Xenopus tropicalis: one gene and its partner. Each later gene encodes a partner of the first gene's protein in a complex. Links are inferred from orthologs where the notes say so. Each region holds a gene or a part of one and is shown on either strand. Other genes may lie near its edges.

The links. The genes of interacting proteins can lie anywhere in the genome.
Region 2: the proteins of gnai2 (region 1) and p2ry12 are in contact, whole or in part, in a cryo-EM structure (PDB 7XXI), measured with the Homo sapiens proteins. The link is inferred for Xenopus tropicalis from reciprocal best matches to the Homo sapiens genes GNAI2 and P2RY12. Residues at the interface, in NP_002061.1 of Homo sapiens: Arg24, Glu28, Ala31, Arg32, Leu195, Glu319, Ile320, Tyr321, Phe335, Phe337, Asp338, Ala339, Thr341, Asp342, Ile344, Ile345, Lys346, Asn348, Leu349, Lys350, Asp351, Cys352, Gly353, Leu354, Phe355; in NP_073625.1 of Homo sapiens: Phe59, Asp121, Arg122, Lys125, Thr126, Pro129, Phe130, Thr132, Asn134, Pro135, Ile212, Leu216, Ser219, Tyr220, Arg222, Thr223, Arg224, Val234, Lys237, Ile241, Leu301, Cys302, Lys303.

Annotation. Positions count from the first base shown.
Region 1 is NC_030680.2:126,955,866-126,959,828, forward strand, and holds the start of gnai2 (guanine nucleotide-binding protein G(i) subunit alpha-2), read left to right. Parts: upstream 1-1,163; 5' UTR 1,164-1,364; coding exon 1,365-1,482; intron 1,483-3,963. UniProt on the Homo sapiens protein: Guanine nucleotide-binding proteins (G proteins) are involved as modulators or transducers in various transmembrane signaling systems.
Region 2 is NC_030681.2:117,990,535-117,994,706, reverse strand, and holds the start of p2ry12 (P2Y purinoceptor 12), read right to left. Parts: upstream 2,801-4,172; 5' UTR 2,716-2,800; intron 1-2,715. UniProt on the Homo sapiens protein: Receptor for ADP and ATP coupled to G-proteins that inhibit the adenylyl cyclase second messenger system. Not activated by UDP and UTP. Required for normal platelet aggregation and blood coagulation.

The DNA of each region.
Region 1 (3,963 bases):
GCTTTGTGGCCTCGTCACAAATCCGGGCCTGTCTGCACCTGCCCCACCACAGGCAGAGAGGCAGAGAGCAGCATGGACAAGGGGTGGAAGGCCTCTCATGAATACAGCGTTGCCAAATACAGGCAGACCAGTGTTCACAGGGGTAGTAATTCTACATTCAAGGAAGGGACACTCTCACACAGTAAAATCATTTACAGTTGTTATACAGGCTCCCCTACACCAGCAGTTCTCAACCTGTGGGTCAGGACCAGGGCCGGATTTCTCTGTGAGGCGCCCCGAGGCCGCCCCTGTGGCTGTCCCCCTCTGCGCATGCGCGAACGCGGCCCCCAGTGCGCATGCGCAAACGCTTCTTTAAACTCCCATACGGAGCAGTGGGGAGAGGTCCCAACTGCTCTGTATGGGAGCCAAATTTAAAAACTTTCTTGCGGCGGGGCGGCATGCCGCCCCTAAACTTCTGCCGCCCTAGGCCCGGGCCTTTGTGGCCTTTCCACAAATCCGGGCCTGGTCAGGACCCCTTTGGGGGTTGAACGACCCTTTCACAGGGGTCGCTTAAGACCATCGGAAAACACATATTTCCGATGGTCTTGGGAACCGAGACACCGCTCCTCCATCTGTCTCCAGGCGGGGCCGCCCACATACGATGAAATCATCGCGCCAACCCCATCACATACACCCCATACAAATACAGGTGTATGTGACAGGGTTGGCGCCATAATGTGCTTATGCAGGCCAGTCACACCTGTAGAAAGCAGCTACTGCGTAGAAAGCAGCTACTCTGTTAAAAGCAGCTACTGTGTTGAAAGCAGCAGTATTGGAGGTAAGCTATGAAGTAGCAACGAAACAATTTTATGGTTGGGGGTCACCACAACATGAGGAACTGTATTAAAGGATTGGCATTAGGAAGGTTGAGAACCATTGTTATACAGGTTCCCCTACACCCTGAGGTATTGGGGGGGGGCAAATGCTCTCTCTGTTTATCCCAGCTGCCGGGACAAGCCAACACTGCACTCACTCCCTGTAGCAAATCCCCTATCCAGCTGCCTGAGCCCAACTCTCCTCCCCTCAGCGCTACCCCCTCCCCCGTGTATCTGTGGGAGGCCCCGGGCGGGCTCTGGGACGGATAATGGGAGGCAAATGTGGGCGGGTCCCACTTTCCTTTCCCTCACAGAGCGGAGCTGAGTGGCGTTACATCTCTATCGCTCTCTCTGTGGCGCTGGGGCTGCACCTTGGGCTTCATTAGTCGGGACATTGGGGACATTTCCAGCGCAGCCTGTGCCGTGGAGGTGCCCGGGAAAAGCGGCGGGTGGGGCCGTGGGTCGCGGTCTAACGCACTATCTGGGGCTGTGTCGCGACATATCGCTGCCATGGGCTGCACCGTGAGCGCAGAAGACAAAGCAGCAGCGGAGAGATCGAAAAACATCGATAAAAACCTGAGGGAGGATGGAGAGAAGGCGGCCAGGGAGGTGAAACTGCTGCTGCTGGGTAACTATCTACTTACTGGCTAGAAACATCTGTCTATAAATCTATATATCTATCTCTATATATCTATCTCTATATAGCCACTCTCGCACAGTCCTCTGTATAGCATGCATCACATGGGTGTAAGGGCTATGGGTGTAAGGGCTATGGGTGTAAGGGCTATGGGTGTAAGGGCTATGGGTGTAAGGGCTATGGGTGTAAGGGCTATGGGTGTAAGGGCTATGGGTGTAAGGGCTATGGGTGTAAGGGCTAGGGGTGTAAGGGCTAGGGGTGTAAGGGCTAGGGGTGTAAGAGCTATGGGAGCCAAATCAGGTTTAGGGCAGGGCAGAGAGGACATGTACCCAGGACCCTCCACCTTCAGCATCACAGGGCACCCTTGGGCGCAGAATGTAGAAAGGAGTACAGAGGGCATATTGTGCTATGAAACAATTATCTTCATTATAAGCCTCAGGCATATCCAGCCTGCAGCCCCCGGCTATTGGTGAACTGCAACTCCCTCTGACAACCATGTTGCGGGGACATTTGTGTGATTTCCTACCCCACATAGATTTCTGGCCCTGCAGGGATCTACGTATATATAAATTCATACTTACTGTGCTAAATAGTGCTCTCATATTGCTGGTCCCTAGTACTGCACCTTATATGTGTAATTACTGGATCATTTGAGCCACTTCCATCTCTGTAGGTTTCTGGTAGAAGCAAGCGTGCCCTCTGCGTGTGTATTAGACATGGTAGTGCAAAGAGGGCCCTGGCTCCAGTAACTCGGGGGCTACTTAGAGTTGTTATATATTTATCTATATACATCAGGGATGTTCTCCAGCCATTGTTAAAATGCAACCCTCAGCATTCACTGACAGCTGACGACATTTGGGTGGAGTGGGGTTGATGAGAGTTGCAGCTCTAAAGGCCACAGTTCCCTGGTCCCTTTCTCAATAATCTCTATCACATCACTTATGGTGCCTCTATCACCCTGTTTTATCCTAATGTATGAAAATCCATCCTATGGCCCTCCACAGGCAACCCCCTGACAACCAATGGCTGCCCCTGCCGTATTTCCTGTAAACATAGATGTGTGGGTTGGAAGGTGGGTATAATGTCATTTTCTCGGAGAACTGGCATTTCCACAGAGAGGGGTCTGGAGCAACAATTGGCCTTTGAATTGGAAAGCAGCATTTTTCTGGGTGCAATAATTGTGTTACTTAATCAGGAACCAATCTGGCCTCACTGGGGAACCAGTATTCAACACACAAATGTGCTTATGCGTATTAAGTTTATTTCCCCTATACACAGACTATTTGGTATTTTCTGTTTATGTATGTTTACCCAACCATCCTGACATCCACGTACTATAGATAATGGTTGCTTTGTCAGTTGGGCAGGTTAGAAAATGTTCTGTGCCAGGGCACCATGTCTGCCTGTGCCTGTGCATGATGCATCAGCAGATGAGGAAGTGCAGATGAGCCACAGATCCTTTTCACTTCCTGCTGTTCTAATCGTTCATGCTGTAGGCCTTAATCAATACAAGACTAGATTGGTAGCCATACCAAAGTGTATTGGCCAGGGTATGGCCACCAGAGCCGGGACAAATTGTTTTTGCACCATAGGCAAAAACTAATTGTCCCAGCACTTACGCACACACAATCTCCCGCCTCCCAGCACTCACTACTTGCAACACTCAGCCTGCTCTCACTTCCAGGCCGGTCGCTGTTTTCCAGCTACCCCCTGCACCCCGCCACTTGCATGGAACAAGCTCTGGTTGTATCCCCTGCATTATGCATGACAATACCAAAAAAAAAAAAAAGTTAGTTATTCACTTTGCTGGGTCAGAACGGGGGGTAGGACTAGGCCAGTGACCCCCAACCTTGGCTATTGCTCCTAGTGGGCTTAAATACGGTCCTTATTTTGTAATTCCTAGCTTTGAGGCAACTTTTGGTTGCATAACAACTGCCAAAAGATTGTTCTGTAGGCTGACAGTCCACATAGGGGCTACAGAATAACCAATCGTAGTCCTTGTGTTTTACCTGTGAGAAGCCTTTTTCATGCTTGTGTTTTAGCGGTGAGGAGCCTCTTTTTACATTTTGAATTTAGGTCACGGGTAAAAATGGTTGGGGATCCCTGGACTAGGTAGAAAATGTAGATGTGCCTAAGGTTCTTGTGCCCCACCAATGTTGCACCCTAGGCACATGCTTCTTCTGTCTACCCCTAGTTCCCGATGGCCACTTTTTAAACCCCACTGTTACCCTTTACAGGTTTGGGCCACATGTATTGTTTGTAGCTGACTACAAATATAATTATACATTGAGACTTATATATAATCGGCCTTAGAACCTCTTAGAAGATTTTTTTTTTTTACTAGGAAATACCCCACCCCCCCAATTTTTTTTTGGAAAAAGAGGCTTTGGGTGTTCCAATAGCATTCATAGAACAATGCAAGTTGTAAGTAGTGAACAGGTTACTAAGCGCTTCCATCCATTTCCTCTTTCA
Region 2 (4,172 bases), on another chromosome or scaffold:
CGTTGGGCTGAACGCTCTTTATCAAGCGTAATGGTAGTTGACCCTAGAGGTGAAGAACACAGTAGGAGTGGGATGGGTGCACTATATTATGCTATAGTAAAAGAGCAGAATTTTTAAGCAAATGGAAATAGTTACTAGTCCTTTTTGCTGCCTCCCCTTGACCTTGCATAAGCGCCCCAGTTTGAACTGAAAATGTAGTAGTTCATGAATAAATGAATTAAGTGGTATAAAGCTTCCTGTGAGTACTCCTTCCCATTACTCAGTTTGCGTTCCCCATCCAATACTTATTTGATTTTGGGTTTAAAAAAATTGAATAGAAATATTAGGTATGTACCATTTGCGTAGAAAACAGACTTTTTTACTGTTGTTATTTGTATGTTATTGTTTTTATATAAAGATAGTAATTTAGAAATGGGAAGACTCTGCCAAACCATGTTTCCGATATAAACGTCTAGGGATAATAGATTTGTATTGACTTAGCAGGATTACCAATATGTAATATATATATGTATAGTATATGCTTTACCCAAAAAGATGACTGTGATAGTAACTTCTTTTTTGACCATTCTCTTCTTGCCCAATACCATGCATCTCCCCAGCCTGCAATTTCTTCCCTCTCCCTATTTTCTTTATTAAAAATTCAATCCATTAGACACAAACTTCTCTTGACAACAGACAGGTTAATTTTTCTTTTACAAATTGTGGTTTATAAACGACAAAACTTGCTGAAATATCTACATTATCCCCATAACCATTATGTTATTTTGATATTATTTAAGCATTACTTTGACACTTTGTTATCCAAAAGCTGGATTGTTTGTTAGTATATCTGAATACATATATCTGAATACAGCTGCCATCCCATCAACAAAGAATTCCGGTGGCTTTCCTGGCCCAAATTATATAATGCAGGGGGCCTAATCATTGCCCTCTCACCCTAAAATGCTGTGAGAATCCATGTAGAAAACTATTCCCAGGTGTATTTCTTCATTTTTTATTCCAGCTTGTGGGGTAAGGTTTGTATCTTGTTTTCCAGTGTAATTTGCCTGTTTCTTATCAGGTCGTGTGGATTATTGAAGGAAATGCTTTTGCAAGCCACATTGTGTGTGTGTATGTATATATATGTGGTTATCTGCTGACTGTTTGTTTTAGAATACACAGCACTACTGCAGGGCCGTGTTTTTTATAGGTAATAATATTAATTTTTATTTCCCCCCCCACAGGCCACTGGATAATTATGAGGTTATCTGGTTGCAGCACTTGGGAGGATCTCTGCCATGGACAAGGGGGCACCAAGGGACACCAATGTGGCACTCATGTCCCTTCTCTTTCTGTATGCAGTAATGAGTAAAGGAACACTACATATAGAAATAGTCACAACTCTTTGGCTATTGTTGCTATGGCCTCAAAACCACAGCCCTTAGAACCCCATAGCCAAAGCACTTGGGCCAGGCACCTGCACAATGAAATCTATGCCCATATCATCTGTGGCGGTTGCTGCAACTGGGCCATGTCCTACCTGCTGTGCAACTGTTTATAAATGTGACACTGGGCATAAAGTATAGCATTTCAAAGCAGCTCAATTTATAGTTAAAGCATATTTAGTTTATTAAATTCATACACAATACAAAAAGCCTTACGCGTTTCATACCAAGAAGGGTACTTAATTTTACTTTGAAGCCTTTTATTTTTCATTATACTTGGTCAGCACAATTAGTGATGGAACATGCAATGGACCATATCCGCCATATTTCTGTGCAAGTGGATTTCAGTATGTAGATATAAAGTAACGTTAAAAATGTAGCCATGGTAAATAGTGTGATAAATTGCACAATTTATAATGGGAGACATAGTAGGGCTCATTTAACGGGCAAATTTGCACCTGGGCAGTAACCCATAGCAACTAATCTGTGATTATATTTTTCAGCCAGCTGCAGGTAGAAAATTGAAAGCAAGCTTTTCATTAGTTGCCATGGGCTACTGCCCAGGTGTAAATTTGCCCAGTGTTTCTAAACAATCACAATGAGTTAGTAGGGTGGGTGAAAATGTGTCTGAATATTAGGTGCTTGTACCAATGTGTGAATTACAGAGGGTGCCCTTTGAGGGGAGAAAAAAAATCTCAAATCTGATATATGACCCTCTAGCTGTTTTTGAAATCCTAGCAACCAATCACAACTTAACCAGGCTTAGTAAACCATATCAACCAGGTGCATGTGAACAGTAAATTCTACTTGTTGACTGGATTACTAAACCTGATGCAGAGTATGCCATTCCTGCTGGGAGAAAACATATGCCCAATGTGAGCAATTCATTTCTCCGGGACACTTTATATTTTTCATGTATTTCTGTAAATATTTCCTGAATCCACATGAATCCACTGAACCCATTAGCAAATACAAGGCCAAACATTTAGTAGTTTGTGCCAGTGGGCAGTGCAGGCAAAAAAACCTCTTACTTGGTTATTATATCCTTCCCTCAAACTAGTCTTAAATTCATGATGTAACAAACAGTCTCCTTCCATGTTGCATGTGGCTAATACAAATATGGTTCTCTGTAGATCAGTGATCCCCAAGCAGTGGCTCGCCACCCCCTTTGATGTTGCTCAGAGCTGTAGCATACAGGAAAGCTAGCAGACATTTTGCTAAGAACCTCTAGTGTATACAGTACATACTTTTTGTGTGAAAAATCACTGATAAACAGATAATGGGTACTTACTCTAAATACTGCTCATCTCCTCCTTCTGCAATATCCTGTGTCAAACTGTTACTTTATGTCTGTGAGATACAGTACCATCCTCATTTATGGTGAGAGCTTACACTTCTTGTTTTGTGCTGTCACATTTCTTTAGTATTGGCTTCATTCTGTAAACAGCACATTCTAGTGAGGTGATGCTTTCCAATTGCTGGAGAGTTCACATTGAGAAATCAGTTCTCTCTAAAATATTTATATGGGTTTAAGAGTATTTACAAGTGTCTAAAGTGATTAATATATTAAGTGCTAATAGATAAATAGCAAACAATGAGCACATAACTACCAAAGGGCACCCTTCCAACTGTGCACTCACTGGGCAATGACTCTTGAAGGCAAGTAAGGACATGGGCCAGGTGAAACAGCTAATAACTTAGCCCTGCATTTATGCCAAATAATAATGCATTATTTTCAACAAACCTCCTTACAAAGTCCCATTGTAATTACAGTAAATGTATTGCCTTAAAATGGGAATCGAATGAAAATATGAAAACACAGCTTAGTGTGTGCACAGAAATGTTTTTTCTGTACTTTGTGTTTATACAATTGTGAATAAGATGCCATACTGTGTTTCGTCTGTTGCATCAATGCATATCCATAGTACATATTTTATACAAAGAATGTTCCATCATTAATGCTAGTTACATGGTGTGAGTATATGATTACACATGTGGAGTTTTTCATTCCAATACTGTATAACTAAACCCCAAAATGCTGTGCACCCTTTACCTCATCCTATCAATAAATAAACTACATGCCACACTCACAAACACCAAGGGGCAGATTTATCAAAATGTGAGTTTAAAGCTTAACACATAAAAACTCCCCCATGTTCTATTTATTCCTATGGGATTTTGTCTGTATGGCATTGTAAGCGTATTTATCAAATGGTCAACTTGAATGTTCTAAATACTCTTCTAAAAATCCCATAGGAATAGATAGAATGTGGGGGAGTTTTTATGTACTAAGTTCTAAACTCACATTTTAATAAATGTGCCCCCAGGTGTCCACAAGCTTTGCTTGCATCCAACATACATTCCATTTCCTACATTAAAGCCTGTCCCAAAACAGAACATCAAAGAATAATTGAAGCTTTTTCCTTTACATATTTATTGCCAATGTATTTGACAATGTACAGCTCTCACAAACAGGACATATGAATGCTGGTGGCACAATTCACACAGCTGTTAAAATGCTTCCCTTTTCTGCTTAATTTTCCACATTCTTCCATTACACAACGTGCCCTTTCTTTATCAGCAAGTTGAAGTCACTTTTGTCCAAAATACTTTTCATGTACTCAAACCCATTAGGGAGAAATTCTTTCACTGATAGCTAGCGCCTATAGGGCTGTACAGTCAGTCGCACCCAAAATCACTTTTATTAAAGGTATTTGCATCAAAATGCATTCCTTGCACCTCTGTAAA